2 linked regions of the Saccharomyces cerevisiae S288C genome follow. The protein of the gene in region 2 interacts with the protein of the main gene of each other region in a pairwise test. Each region holds a gene or a part of one and is shown on either strand. Other genes may lie near its edges. The genes, in order: OSI1 and URK1.

Region 1 (3,588 bases), on a different chromosome or scaffold from region 2:
TCTTTCCAGCATTTCCACATGTTTATTCTTCCGTGCTAAATGTGCAATAAGTTTATGCTCTCCATTATCGAACTCCACGAATACAAATGGAATATGTGATGCGCACATACCAAAATCGGGGTCATCTTTATTGGAAGAAGTTCTCCATCCGAAGAAACCTTGCCTGCTAGCCTTAGAGGAGAATAGTGTTCCTAGCGGGGGTTTTTTTGATAATTTGTACCTTGAGAGTTCCATGGACTCAAAATGTTTAGGAATGTACATTATGAAATAGATTCTTGGATTCTTCTCAGACTGGCAATTTATGTCTATAATATTAAGGGATGGTTTTCGGCGAATATGCAGAATCTTCGGTTCTAGGACCAGTTATATACCATCCTAATTAAAATCAGAGGACATAATAGAGATAGTTTCAAATCTGGTTAAGCGTTAAAAGATCAGCATACAAAGTGATGCCACAAAATACCTTCTTAAAGGGGCGTGAGGCAAAAGCAAAGTCACATCATATAGCACCTACCAATAAAAAAGTGTATTACACAAAGGTATATTCCGTATCTGAGTTGTATATAAGTAGCCAAATTTGCACTTATCTAAAAGACGCCTTCGCTGCCGTCATAGTTGAAGAACTTTCCATTATCTTCTGGTAAAATTTTTCGGAAGACATCAATTAGCGCAGAGGCACTTTCTTCTGGTGTGATAATATTTACGCCGCTGATGTCTATATTCTTCTCTTTAAAATGATCAAGGCCATATTGGCCCATATCAGTAGATACCATACCTGGGTGAAAAGCAACGACAGTAAAACCCTCCGGTTTCAATTCAAAACTGAGCGTCTTTACCGCATAATTCAAGGCAGCTTTCGATTGACCATAAGCGGAAACAGAAAGTGGTACAAACGCATTGATAGATCCTGCAACACTAGAGATAAAGAATATCTTCCTCGTCTTTTTCAAAAGAAGCAGTGGATAAACTTTTTGAAGGGCTAGTATCGGACCCAGAGCGTTTGTGCTATAATGGTTGAGCCAGACTGATTTGGGAGTTTCCAGGACCTTGTAATAAGAATCAGATACTGCAGAACATGCGATAAAAATATCAATACCCAAGAAGAATGGCGTTTTCTTGATCTCGTCCGCAATATTGCCAATACTTTCGTCCTTTGTAAGGTCAAGTTGGACAATATGGATATTCTTCCTGATTTTTGCTAAATCTTCCACTTGTTTGTTCTTGGGTAATGAAGGTGATCCACGAATAGAGGTTATAACTGTATTGCCCGTAGAAGCGCTTAAAATTTTGACCAAATTAAAACCAATTCCACGGCTACCACCGATGATAAAGTAAGTTATTCTTGATGAAGTATTCATATCGACTTTGTTTGCTTAGAATTCTACTGATTTATGCCACTGGTAAAGGCTTTATTCTTAAAAACGTCAAAAATTAGTTTTGAAGCATCGCCGCCTATTTATTATAACTGGTATACTATCTTACTTATTAGTACTACCATTTATACCGCTATGCATTACTAATCACATTACTAATCTCATTACTAATCTCATTACTAATCTCATTGCTAATCTCATTACTAATCTCATTACAAATAACTTTCTATTGAGGTATTTCTAGGGAATTGCGAAGTTGGTTTGCTTTTTATGAGACCCGCGGACGTTAATCGAAGATATAATCCACGGAAAAATTATATGTCCTGCAATTTGTGCACAGTATATTAATCGGGAACATATATGATTAGATTATTGCAAGTCATGCAAGCTAAAGTAAAACAAGCAATATCAGGAGCTCATAGATATATCATGCACACATCAGGTAGAAGATAGGAAATTATAGAAGATCTGAAGAAATTAGAAGAACTAAGCTCGACTAGCCTAATAGGAAAATGGTGTCCCTTATTTAACCTGAGAAACCAATATTTCGTAGTATCTTCTTTTTTTCTTCCATGGTAATGAGTCCAACAAACTTTGAGCTTCTAAAAAATATAAACTCCAAATGAACCTGATCAGGACAAATGTTCTCTAGGGTAGTTAGATACAAAACCTTTCGGATGAGGGATTTCTTATCCTAGCTATTTAATGAAGCAAAATAAAGCTGTTTCAAAAAGCTTAAGTGTTTGTACTTTTTTTTACCAGGTTAAAGAAACAGGAATAATTATTCGTAGAATTGCAAAATTTTTTATTGACGTACTTGTTTCTATTTTTTGAATAGTCAGTTCTTCGGAAGGCATTCAATAAGAGCCCAATATAAGGGTAAGGTGCACTTTTATACAAGCTGGCCAAAAAAACCGGGAAATGGCAAAAGTTCGAACTATTGTTTCATAGGTACTATTAAATCCTTTCATTTGGTAAAGAAAGGTGCTTGAATGACTTTGCAGACTATTTCTGTTTCCTACCGAATAAATTAGGTGCGCTTTAACGCGCAGTGATGTGTAGATCAATTGAAATGGGGAACTTGCTTATTGAATACAGGATTAAAGAGGAAATGGTACGGTACATTTTTGGATTTTGCCATAACTCACGATAAACTGTGGATGGCTGCATCAAAAGATGGAGAGTTGCTAGATGACCGTCACGTCTGCGTAGTCTCTTCACAACATGTTTTATTGACTTGGTTGATGCTATTGTAGTGATTAAAGAGAACGAGAGATAACGCAAATCAAAATTTTATGTTGTGACATTTGGAAATTGAAGGAATACTTATCTTCGAAAAGCCGGAGCAATGCTTTTACCTCGCTAGAAATAGCATGTCATGTAACATGGTAATGTTAGCTTTATAAATAACCGCGCTATTTAGTAGGCTACTACAATTAACTCCCAGACTTCAAATTAGTCAGAAATGTAATACAATGTTGTGTAACGTTAGTCATATGTTATAATTTGTATTCTCGCAGTAGAGGTAATTCACGATCTTAGGATTTGCGCATGTTTATGATCATAATGTCAAAATAAACTACGTAATGCGTAATTTTAAATAGTTCTTTTGCCCAAAGTAAATGCGCATTATTATAGCATTCGTTGATGTTTCCAGTATTATTGCGATAATACTGGGGCCTGTCCATGAAGTTTTAATAGCAAGTGGCTTAGCAAATATTCTAAAAATTGAGATGGTCACATAACGTGAAAACTCTAAATTCGCGGCAGGAAGTCGGTTCTTTATCCTATGTGATTCGATGTGGAGGCAATTACCTATCTATAATATATGAAAGTTGCTGTATACTTATATAAGCCATTTATAATATGCAAAAGGCGGTAACGATATGCCGCGCAAATCAAAATCCAGATTGAAACAAGAAATAATGATTAAGATATACTATCAGTAACACGACAAAGGTAAGGAAATTCCAGTAACTGAGGCTATTTCATCAACCTAAGTACATCATTTTCAAGAAAAGAAGAAATACTTTATTTAGAGTGTGGAGCGCTAAATGTATGGCAAAAAAAGAAAATGAAACGGACAGGAATTGAACCTGCAACCCTTCGATTGCAATCTTATTCCGTGGAATTTCCAAGATTTAATTGGAGTCGAAAGCTCTACCATTGAGCCACCGCTTCATCTTGGAATATTCACGTTTTAAAATAGGATAGA
Region 2 (3,978 bases):
GGCGGTAAGCTCATCCGGTTTATTGTCTACAATGGCACAGTTAATTAAGGCGCAGGTTGAGCATGAACCAATCTTCATTATTGTGTTGATCTTCGGTCTAGTGATTCTTGTAATGGCCACTTTTGTCTCCCATACCGTCGCGGCAATGATCATCGTACCATTAATGAGTGAGATCGGTTCCAATCTACCTTCAGGTGATCATTCTAGACTATTGATCGTTATAGCCGCCCTATTATGCTCTAGTGCTATGGGTCTTCCAACCTCTGGTTTCCCCAACGTGACTGCCATTTCAATGATTGATGAAGTTGGTGATAGATATTTGACCGTGGGTACATTTATTACGAGAGGTGTACCAGCCAGTTTGTTAAGTTATGCCGCTATTGTTACAGTAGGTTATGGCATATTGAAAGTAATGGGATTTTAAGATTATCCATAGAGAGAATGAAAGGTTACTAATATAGTATGTATACGTGCACTATTATTTAATTTTACTTTATATTGCCTCTAATTATTCTCAATCACAACCAAAATACTTTGAATCAAAAAATCTGGTCAATGCCCATTTGTATTGATGATTTTGTAACTTTTCTCTGGAGATGATCATACCAGCAAAAATGTTGACTTTGTTATCAAATGCATTTAATATACGTCGGATACCAACTTCAGTGGCCAAATAAACCACCACGCTAATCTTTTCCAAATCAATACCATGATCTAAAAGCACCTGGATGGCCATGATCATGGCCGCACCACTTATGATTTGACCTTCCATTAAGAAAACCTTGCCAAACTTTTCTATATTTGGGGGTAAAAATTCGCAATGCAGTTGAGGTTCCCCAGTTTGTGAATCGGACTGAATCAACAATTTACCAATTGTGATATTGGGGATCGTCTTTCTCAAAGACTTCATAAAACAATCGCCAGATCGAATAATATTAACAGCTGTAACTTGATCGAATTGACAGGCAATAACGTTTTCCATGGTATGCTCACCAGGTGTAATTATGTTCGTATGTGCTACAGGAATGTCATCAAGTGCCCATGATAACAAAATTGTTGCTAACCTGTCAAAGTAGAAAACAAAGTCCGCGCAATTTAGATTTTTATTTAGAAGCATAGTATGCAGCGAAAGAACTTGGTTGGTGGGCGGCAATTCATGAATTATGTTACGATTAAGCACATCTTGTGAAGGAGAAGAGCCCAATTTGATTAGCTCTCTTAAGTGTTCATTTGATTTTAGTTCCAGTTTTGACTTGATGTGGTTAATGATTAAATTTACCGCTGTAGCATTATCACTCATCGATGGAATGATAGCATCTGCATTCTTCATTGTTGGTTTCACAAACTTTACCGCATTTGGTTTCACAAATTTCTCCCATTGTTGAATACAACCATCCAAATCTCTCCCTCTGGAAACTATATCTCTCGACAATCTTCTTGCTAAGCAGACATCCAAATCAGCGTCAACATAAATTTTCAAGTCCATCAAATCCAGCAATCGGCGATCGTAAAGGGCGTAGATCCCTTCGATAACTACCACACTGGCCCCGTATATGACTATATTTTTATCAGGAACTCTATTGTGGTGGACGAAGCTATAAACTGGGATATTTGTCCTTTTGCCCTCCTTTAAGTTCAAAATGCACTTATATGCCAAATCTAAGTTGATGGCATTTGGCTCGTCGAAATCGTATTCATTTTTAAAGGCTCTGGCTCTGTCCTCTGGGCCTAATGGATTGTAAAAGTTATCCAAAGATATTAATACTGTCCAGGGAACATTAATTGACGACACAATCTTAGCAGCAACGCTTGTCTTGCCTGAACCTGAAGCACCACCTATACCTATTATATATGGAGTTGTCCATGGTGGGATATACCGAGAGCTTTTTCCTTTTGTTTTTTTGACATCTACTTCACCATCCATGACTGCATTAGCTTTCAATGTGTCTCTTGTTTCATCGTCTAAAATTGAAATAAATGATGAAGATCGTTCTTTGGAAGGTGCTATACGATGGGACATAATAAATAAAATAAATGCGAGTTCGAAATTAAACGTATGAAATTATCGAAGATGTCGCATATAAATAGTAAATAAGACGTTATCCAAGGCCTACAGCCTTACGAAAAAAAAAAAAAATCACATCTCTTATCTTATCGATCTAAATTTTTCAGTTTCCTTTTTTCATCTCGAAGCTCATCGCATGAAAAAAAAACTTCGATATGTGAGCGTATTAAGACAATAGAGGAAATAGTGAGAACAAGTGGGAAAATTAAAGACTAATCATCGAAAATATGCAAGAATTCTTTAAGTGCTCGTATCTCAAATGTAGCCAAAACAGTACTAGCCCATACAACCTGATGACGAGAACGTGCTGAAAGTGGAAGACAGTTAGTTACCCGGACAATTAAAAAGTGATATTAATCAATTGTATAAGTAATAACGGATAGCTGCTATATGTTTAATTGGCATCTATATAGATAACAAGCGTGTATAGCAACACATGTCAAGTATTACATCTGAAACCGGTAAGCGAAGAGTGAAACGAACGTATGAAGTTACAAGACAGAATGACAATGCAGTAAGAATAGAGCCTTCTTCCTTGGGTGAGGAAGAAGACAAAGAGGCCAAGGATAAGAACTCTGCCTTGCAGCTAAAACGATCACGCTATGACCCCAATAAAGTTTTTTCTAATACGAACCAAGGTCCAGAAAAGAACAATTTAAAAGGAGAACAACTTGGATCACAAAAAAAGTCATCAAAGTATGATGAAAAAATAACGTCAAATAATGAACTTACTACAAAGAAGGGTCTACTAGGTGACTCCGAGAATGAAACTAAGTACGCCTCTTCTAATTCTAAATTTAACGTAGAAGTTACTCATAAAATAAAGAATGCAAAAGAAATTGACAAAATAAACAGACAACGCATGTGGGAAGAACAACAATTGCGAAATGCTATGGCGGGGCAAAGCGATCACCCTGATGATATAACATTGGAAGGCTCTGACAAGTACGATTATGTGTTCGACACAGATGCAATGATTGATTATACTAATGAGGAGGACGATTTACTACCTGAAGAGAAACTTCAATATGAGGCACGTCTAGCACAAGCTTTAGAAACTGAGGAAAAGCGTATACTGACTATACAAGAGGCAAGAAAACTTTTGCCTGTACATCAATACAAGGATGAGCTACTACAAGAGATCAAAAAAAATCAAGTTTTGATTATAATGGGTGAAACCGGTTCTGGTAAAACCACACAGTTACCCCAATATTTGGTAGAAGATGGATTCACTGATCAGGGAAAGTTACAGATTGCCATAACACAACCACGTCGTGTGGCGGCCACTTCTGTTGCTGCAAGAGTAGCAGATGAAATGAATGTTGTGCTTGGGAAGGAAGTGGGTTATCAGATCCGTTTTGAAGACAAAACAACCCCAAATAAAACGGTTCTAAAGTATATGACGGATGGTATGTTACTAAGAGAATTTCTTACAGATTCCAAATTAAGCAAATATTCTTGTATTATGATTGATGAAGCTCATGAACGTACTCTAGCCACAGATATCCTGATAGGTTTGCTGAAAGATATTTTGCCGCAGAGGCCCACTTTAAAATTGCTTATATCATCAGCAACAATGAACGCAAAAAAATTTTCAGAGTTTTTTGATAATTGTCCCATTTTCAACGTTCCTGGGAGAAGATATCCTGTAGATATCCACTACACATTACAGCCGGAGGCAAACTATATACATGCCGCTATAACAACTATTTTTCAAATTCATACTACGCAAAGTTTACCGGGGGATATATTGGTGTTTTTAACGGGGCAAGAAGAAATTGAAAGAACAAAAACCAAACTGGAGGAGATCATGTCTAAATTAGGTTCTAGAACAAAACAAATGATTATAACTCCTATATACGCAAATTTACCCCAAGAGCAGCAATTGAAAATTTTCCAGCCGACTCCGGAAA

What was found.
Region 1: the proteins of URK1 (region 2) and OSI1 interact in a two-hybrid assay, tested with the Saccharomyces cerevisiae proteins (one large-scale study listed by BioGRID).

Annotation. Positions count from the first base shown.
Region 1 is NC_001143.9:302,884-306,471, reverse strand, and holds OSI1 (Osi1p), read right to left. Parts: upstream 1,359-3,588; coding exon 588-1,358; downstream 1-587. Other genes in the region: YKL070W (uncharacterized protein), read right to left, coding at 1-261.
Region 2 is NC_001146.8:645,474-649,451, reverse strand, and holds URK1 (uridine kinase URK1), read right to left. Parts: upstream 2,021-3,978; coding exon 515-2,020; downstream 1-514. Other genes in the region: PHO91 (Pho91p), read left to right, coding at 1-424; DEAH-box RNA-dependent ATPase PRP2, read left to right, coding at 2,502-3,978. UniProt on the Saccharomyces cerevisiae protein: Catalyzes the conversion of uridine into UMP and cytidine into CMP in the pyrimidine salvage pathway.